Linked DNA regions of Neodiprion lecontei. The protein of the gene in region 1 interacts with the protein of each later gene in a pairwise test. Links are inferred from orthologs where the notes say so. Each region holds a gene or a part of one and is shown in the gene's direction. Other genes may lie near its edges. The genes, in order: raf homolog serine/threonine-protein kinase Raf and ras-related protein Rap1.

What was found.
Region 2: the proteins of raf homolog serine/threonine-protein kinase Raf (region 1) and ras-related protein Rap1 interact in a two-hybrid assay, tested with the Drosophila melanogaster proteins (2 studies listed by BioGRID). The link is inferred for Neodiprion lecontei from reciprocal best matches to the Drosophila melanogaster genes Raf and Rap1.

The regions. Positions count from the first base shown.
Region 1 is NC_060262.1:27,894,271-27,898,203, reverse strand, and holds the start of raf homolog serine/threonine-protein kinase Raf, read left to right. Parts: upstream 1-1,180; 5' UTR 1,181-1,568; coding exon 1,569-3,794; 3' UTR 3,795-3,933.
Region 2 is NC_060264.1:31,048,930-31,052,862, forward strand, and holds the start of ras-related protein Rap1, read left to right. Parts: upstream 1-817; 5' UTR 818-1,436; intron 1,437-3,933. UniProt on the Drosophila melanogaster protein: Ras proteins bind GDP/GTP and possess intrinsic GTPase activity. Plays a role in photoreceptor cell determination.

The DNA.
Region 1 (3,933 bases):
CACACGACGGGCTGCTAATAAATAGATATATTAGTCACGGGAACGATCAAATTGAAAATGCTATTCACTATCGCATCGCATATACAATATACTACACACTGCAAATCTCTGACTGAAAAACTACAGGTATATAAATATATAAGTCGGTATCAGAAAAATCGGGGTTGCACCCCCGGAAATTATCCGGAAAGTTTAAAGTGTAATTCAAAATTATTTGGTTGAGATATTATTAAAAAACCAAAGAATCAGAAAGGAACTGGAGTCTTTTCACAAATTACGTGAAGAAACCGCGGTCAAACCTGACGCACGTATCCAAATTATATTGTACCGAATTAATCTGTTCTCGGATTTTGTCTGTAACGAAATTTTTTGCACATCGTCTTGTGATTATAATGGAATAAAAATTCAAGTTCCACGAACATAAAAGAATTGAAACGTGTATTTTTTTTTTATATTAACCGTGCATATAAATGCATGTCTTGGAATTTTCAACTAACCACAAACTCGACCGCTAATTTCTATGGAATTCTATTCTTTTTATCGACTATTCACGGTTCTCATTACTAAGCATCAACCGCGCATTGACATCCGTTCTGCTTTTAATTCTCAACGTTCGAATTGAACACAAACTCTAGATAGCAGATAAAAAAAGTAGTTAACAGTATTTCAGACAAACCAATTCTTGATATTATAGTATATTTCGATTGTTTTCCCTTTCAATATGAATTTCACCCGAGATCCACATTATAATATCCTAAATCGTTCATATTCTTCGCATAAAATGTTCACTTCCAAACGATTGTTTTTACAATTTCAATTCGTTTCAATCCATTTCAACCATAAATGTTGAATATTACGAAACTATTGGAACGACTACTGCAATATTATACGGATAGTTAAAGATTATAAAATAATGCATGGAAAAAGATTATTTCACGTCTTTAATCACGTGATTGACAATAAGCGAAATGAGGAATGTTATTCTCGTTCCGAACCCTCCTTCCGCCAGACATACTCTTCATAGGGTTGATACAAAATGATGTTTGAAAACCCGTCTAGTAATGAATTTTCGAAAACGGTATACACGTTATACCGTTGACGTGGAATGACCCATATACGTATCGGAGGCGCTGGACACACAGAACTCGGGAGTTTCCGTGTCGGTTCGGTTCGCCGTTCGGGTTCTGCGCAAGAGTTTAGAGTAATAAGGCAGCGAAAGCAGCCGCCGTTGACACTGGCCTATTGTTGAGTTTTTCAGAGTCTCGATTATCGTGCGACCCGCAATAATATAAATATTGTTTAAACAATCGTTGGCGCGTACTTAAATATAAAGTGACGGGTGTCGGGTGAAGTGATATCCAACGGTGCGTAATTATATCGCGTTAAAAGGTGAAGATATTGGCGGCCGAGCAGGGGGGGGGAGGAGGAGGAGGAGGAGGAGGTGGCGGAGAAGGAGGAAGATAGGCGGCTAAATTCGCAAGGCCATTTAGCTAAACACGATGTCGTCGCCGCCGACGTTCATTGCGAGGAAAACAAAACAACCTGCGTCAGGTGGGTCTCGTTAGAAAATGGCAGTTATTAGGGAAGTAAGATTCGTCCATGGTAGAGTACCGACGTTTTCGTACACGACACCGTCCCGTGGTAATGGTAATGACCATTCAAACACCATGTCGCAGGGATACTCAGGCAACAACGCCGATTTGAGTGATTTCGAAGACTGTTACCTCGAGACGGATCCCCTCAGATACGAGTTGAAAAATATCCAGAGTGTCATCCATGTCACGAGGCAGAACATCGATGCGCTCAATAACAAGTTCGCCGGCTTTCAACACCCGCCTCCGATCTACCTCACCGAGTATCAGGAACTCACCAGCAAGCTGCACGAGCTCGAATCCAAGGAACAGAAGCTCAACGAGCTCCTGAACTCTACCGCTAGTGTTAACATTGACTACGAGGTTCAGACACCATCCAGACAACCAGACCCGAGAACCCCGCTGAAGTCTTTGCTACGCGCTCATCTACCCAATCAGCAACGCACCAGCGTCCAAGTCAAAGAGGGACTTTCGCTCAGAGACGCCCTCGCCAAGGCGATGAAGCTGCGAAATCTTACGCCGGAAATGTGCGTGGTCTATGTAATAGGACACAACGATACCAAGATACCGATTCCCTGGGACACGGACATTTCGTCTTTGGAATGCGACGAGATATCGGTCGAGATATTGGATAAATTTCCTATAACGACTTCTATATCGCACAATTTTGCTAGAAAGACATTTTTCTCATTGGCGTTCTGCGAATTCTGTAGAAAACTTCTCTTTCAAGGATTCTATTGCCGGACTTGTAACTACAGATTTCATCAACGATGTGCCGGCGGTGTTCCGGCGCTGTGTCATCAGGTTCGCATGCAAGATGCTTACTACCAGGCTCTTCTGGCTCACAACCCCGAAACTACTGCTGGAATACTCCAACTTCCATCTGGCTATGGTCTAAGTCGAAGCATGTCTCCGTCTCTGGCTCCTGTCAGAAGTCACAGACATCCCAGAACCTTGGGGCAGCAAGATCGCTCCAGTTCCGCTCCCAATGTCTGCTTCAACATGGTTAAACCAGGGAGCGATCCCTCGTCTCTCGAGGATTACACCAGATCTCAAAGCCTGGGAAGGCCGGTTGGTAACACTCAGAGTCCGGTTTCACCTGGAAGCAGTCCGACCAAGCACAGTCAATCGACGCAGGCGAGTCCGACGAGTACGTTGAGGCCAAAACGGCCAAGGGCAAGGTCGGCTGACGAATCTTCGAAAAATTTATTGGCCCCCAGAGAGTCGATCGAAGACTGGGAGATTCCGGCCGATGAAATATTGGTGGGACCTCGCATCGGTTCAGGATCGTTCGGGACGGTGTACAAAGCTCATTGGCACGGTCCGGTGGCTGTGAAAACTTTGAACGTTAAAATTCCAACACTGGCTCAACTCCAGGCATTTAAAAATGAAGTTGCAGTGCTCAGGAAAACTCGTCATGTTAATATACTCCTGTTTATGGGTTGCGTCAGTAAACCCCAGCTCGCCATAGTAACTCAATGGTGCGAGGGATCGTCTTTGTACAAACACCTCCATGTTTTTGAATCCAAGTTTGAACTTTTGACACTTATTGAAATTGGCAGACAGACTGCACAGGGTATGGATTATCTACACGCAAAGAACATCATTCATCGGGATTTGAAGAGCAACAATATATTCTTGCACGATGACTTGACTGTGAAGATTGGTGATTTTGGACTGGCAACAGCGAAGACAAGGTGGTCTGGATCTCAGCAATTTCACCAACCGACTGGTTCCATTTTATGGATGGCACCCGAGGTTATCAGAATGCAGGAAGAAAATCCCTACAGTTATCAGTCCGACGTTTACGCTTTCGGAGTGGTACTTTTCGAACTGCTTACCGGACAGTTACCTTATTGTAACAATAACAACAAAGATCAAATTCTCTTCATGGTTGGGAGAGGCTACCTGCGTCCTGATTTGAACAAACTCAGATCGGACACTCCGAAGGCTTTGAAACGCCTGACGGAAGACTGTATAAAATTTTCCAGAGATGAAAGACCGATATTTAGACAAATTTTAGCTAGCTTGGAAGGTTTGATTCAGGGTTTGCCTAAGATAACCAGATCAGCTTCGGAACCAAATTTAAATCGAACTCAATTGCAGACGGATGATTTCCTTTACGCCTGCGCTTCACCTAAAACGCCTGTCAACTTTCAATTCGGAGCATTCCCTTTTTACCCATCGGGCGGGAACATATAATGGACATTACTTTGAATTTTCACCCTTGGCATATAAAAACATAATAGAATGCATTAAAGAAAAAGAAACAGAATTGAAAAGAGAAAAATTTGAAAAAAAATTAAGTTGCGAACAATCTACGTAGTTACTTCCTATTGTT
Region 2 (3,933 bases), on another chromosome or scaffold:
TTTCATCTGATTAACGGTAAGACCAAGAAACAAAAGACATTCGAACATTTGAATTTCTGTACAAATTAACGCAAGATCGCATGCACGAAGATCCGATACGTCTTCAAGTTTTATATTTCGCGGCATACGGAACTGCCAACTTAAAGAAAGTAAATTAATTTTCCGCACTCTCCATTGGCCGAGAGTGAGTAGAATTATTTGAGATTTTTGGCAGTTACCTCGAGTTTATAGCTCCGAAATAGGTAAAATCGACGCTCGTAGTGACGGAATAGAGCAAAAATTGCTGCTTAAACAGGTACGAAACAATATCCTGCTCGAATCTGGCGTTCCGGATGTCGTTCGGTGTGTGGCTGCGTATGACTAAGCGGTTGCGCTTACGTTGGTCGAATGGCTAGTGACGTCATCACATAAAAGCTGAGTGCCCATTGGGCTTGACCGACGTAAGGGAGCCCCCAATTGGCCGACGAAAGGTTACGAGAGAAGCTATCGGCGAACGTTCGTAGCGACGTGCCAATGGAAGACAGGGTGAGCGAGCGGCGACGAGCAGAGTAGGCATCGCCCTAGATAACGGTAGAATTGTGATTCGCCGGGCGTTACTTAAGGCCGTGTTATAAATTGATACGAACCGACAGAAGGAGTAAAACGTGCGGTGATATAGAGACTCTGTGGAATCGAATGATCCGTAAGAGAAAAAAAAAAACAACAAACTAGAGAATTTAAATTAACGAGTAAATGAACAAAGAAGTGTTGCGAGGAAAAAGAAAAAAGATACGGGATACAAAGAAAATAACAATAATAGTTAAAAAAAAAAAAAAACAACACAATTCAACAAGACTGTATAAAAGGTAAAATTAATTATTGTTATATGCTCGCGAGTTCGGCAGTAGTGCGGTGTGCGTGGAAAGGGTGCAGCATCGGCGACACGAGGCTTAGAGGGGAAGAAAATCTGTGAATGTAAAGTTGTAATAAAAGTTTCGTAGGAAGACTTTAAAGAGTTACGAACGAAAAAAAATAGAGAAAAGATATTCCTTCATTCGTGAACCGAGTATCAGTGTCACAACTCGACGACAATCTCGGTGTGCAATTGGTACGTACACCTACTCAACTGCCTGCCTGCCTACCTACCTACATCGTGACTCTGGGTAGTAGTGGGTATTTTCTCTCTCTACATGAAGTCATGGCGGTGTAGCAGCAGCAGCAACAGCAGCAGCAGCGGCGGCGGCGACGACAGAAGAAGGCAAAAGCGAACGACAGGAAACAACCGGAGAATCTAATCACAGTCAGACTTGGAAGTCGTTGCAACGAAATCGAAAACGGTGGACGTCGTAAAAAAACAAAATAAAACAACAACAACAACAACAATCATACACCATATATCGTAATTTCTACGGGAAATCAAGGATCCCCAGAGATACCAACCGCGAGATAGGCGTCAGGTATGTAACTAAGAAAATTACACACATCTACTTCATTCCGTCTCTCTTCGCTTATCTTCATCTCCGCACACAAGCGATGCATCAATTCATCCCTACACTGAAAACGCCCACAGTCCGAGCTCTCAAGTATCTTGTCGTATCTCATTTTAGCTCGACAGTCGATCCCATCCGCTTCCCTCTGGTCCTCTCACTATGCAACAAAAAACAAAAAGTTAATTCGCGAGTATTCGATAATCGGAATCGGATGAATAAAGGGAGAGAAAGCGAATTTTTCTTCTTCTGTCGTTTGTCGCATATCTAGGAATTTATTATCTACGATCACAGCAGCCGGATTTATCTTGCGTTTCGACCATCCATAGACTAAATACTTGATCCACATAACTGAGAGCGTTCCCTCCCTTCCTTTCAGTACCACGTTACCGATGTTCCTCTTTTTTTTGTTCTCTTCTGCTATTGCCCTTTTATTACTGTCAATCCTGTCAATTTCTTTCAATTAATCACGGTAACCAATCGCTTTTATCGGCGAACGAGGCTCGTTTTAAAATCGACCTATCGTACTGTCCACGATAAATAATTTATCAGTAATAATTTAGTCGGCTCTTTCACGTTACGAGGCGACATCTAGACATGCAATATATGGTTGTTGGTTGGCTTTACCGCAATTACGATCAGAACAAGTGACGACACGATTCAACTTACGGATACATACACTAAAAATAATCATAATCCTAATGTGACTCATATCATAAAACGCCGTACGCACGTATTATACGGTGTATCTATGCACGATGTAACACGAGCGTGTATAAACGTCATCCATTCCCCATCAGCGTCATCGCGGGACGAAAATCCTTCATGTGTTTAAGGGTCTTCGACACCCCCCCTCTGCACGTTGCGTGCATCACGGTCGTTCCTTAAATAAAATCAATTAACGTACTGCACATTTAATAATAGTACCACGCTTATACGGGCACTGATCTCGCACTCTCAAGATTACCTTCTACCCGATTTTTATAATTCACGTCGAATGATTTTCAAATATTCTTGACTGTTTCTCAGCTGTTACATACCTTCACACAGGTAACATAAAATCGAGTCACGAGAGCGGGAAATTTGAACTTGATAATAACTTCTCTTGAGATAAAATGCTAGTCATTTGTATAGACAGCATAGAATAATCTGTGTAATCGCACACGATTATATCATCGATGATTACACCGATCATGGAAATAAAATTCTTTCTTGCGTCATGCTTTTTAGACATCGATGTATCGATTGTATTTTTCTTCAACCTGGCGTCATAAACGAGGACTGTACGGGTCTCTCTACGACGTGTCTTGTTGCCAGTGTTTATCATGCAGGTTATTATTAAACGCAACCTCATTTACTCGTCCGTCAATATTGTACGTACTAATCTTAAACGTAAGTCGAATGAATATATAGTAAAATTTTTAAAGTTTTTAATGCACGTTATACAATGTAAAGAAAACTCGGCACGTTGTGTATGATTATTATATTATTCCATGGACTATTATCGGCTTCCAGCAGCAGGGGGAATACAATTAAAAATTAATTCACACAGCAACGAGAAGAAAGCAAACCACCCCTCATCCTGCAGAAAGGTACAACACGTATTGTGGGAGTAACATCGCGAAGTATACAGAAACAGTTGTACGTATACGTTACAAAATTATCAACTTGAAACCACTCGAGGGTGTATACATATGTACATATAGGTAGAGAGTCGTTACGTAAGTGATACCAATTATCCTTGGTGTGTGTAGGTATCTGGTTGAACTTAATCGACGAAACGATACACTCCATCTACTCAGTTTCGCCATTCTGGCAAACTGCAGGAAACAAGCAGCAACAAAGATAGAAAAAAAACACATTCCCTCGTAGATCTATTTCTGTACCATCTGTCATAATTCGTACTAATTTAAAGCGATTCGTCGATTTTCCGGTAATCCTTCGTACCAAAAACGGGGATAAACTCTACACAAAAATAATCGTTGCGCCTCCTCGAGCAGCATCAAATTTCAATCGATTATCCGAAGATTGATCTGTTATTGATTGATGTTTGTTTTTAAATCAGTAAACTTCAAGCGGTTGATATACTAGAAATAGTATTTAAATACACTTGTATAGAGATGGAGTTGTACCATTATTTAAACCTGAATTTTTATGAGTCTGAAACAACGGGATACGTTATGTCATAAAAATTTCTCTAAACGACTGAAACCGAGCATCCAGAAATATTCTATGCACAGATAAGGATATCGCATTACACAATAAAGCTAGTCGATGATGATATTATAACGATAAGAGTCGTCCGTACGTGTGTGCGTATGTTTTTCTTACATCAACCTATTTATCATAAACGATGTATAGTACGTTATAAGTTGCAAACGATTTATTAATTAGTTTAATTTTCGTTTTCTTTTCTTCTTTCGTTTCATCGACAAGAAACACACATGTGTTTCGAGTTGTTTTATCG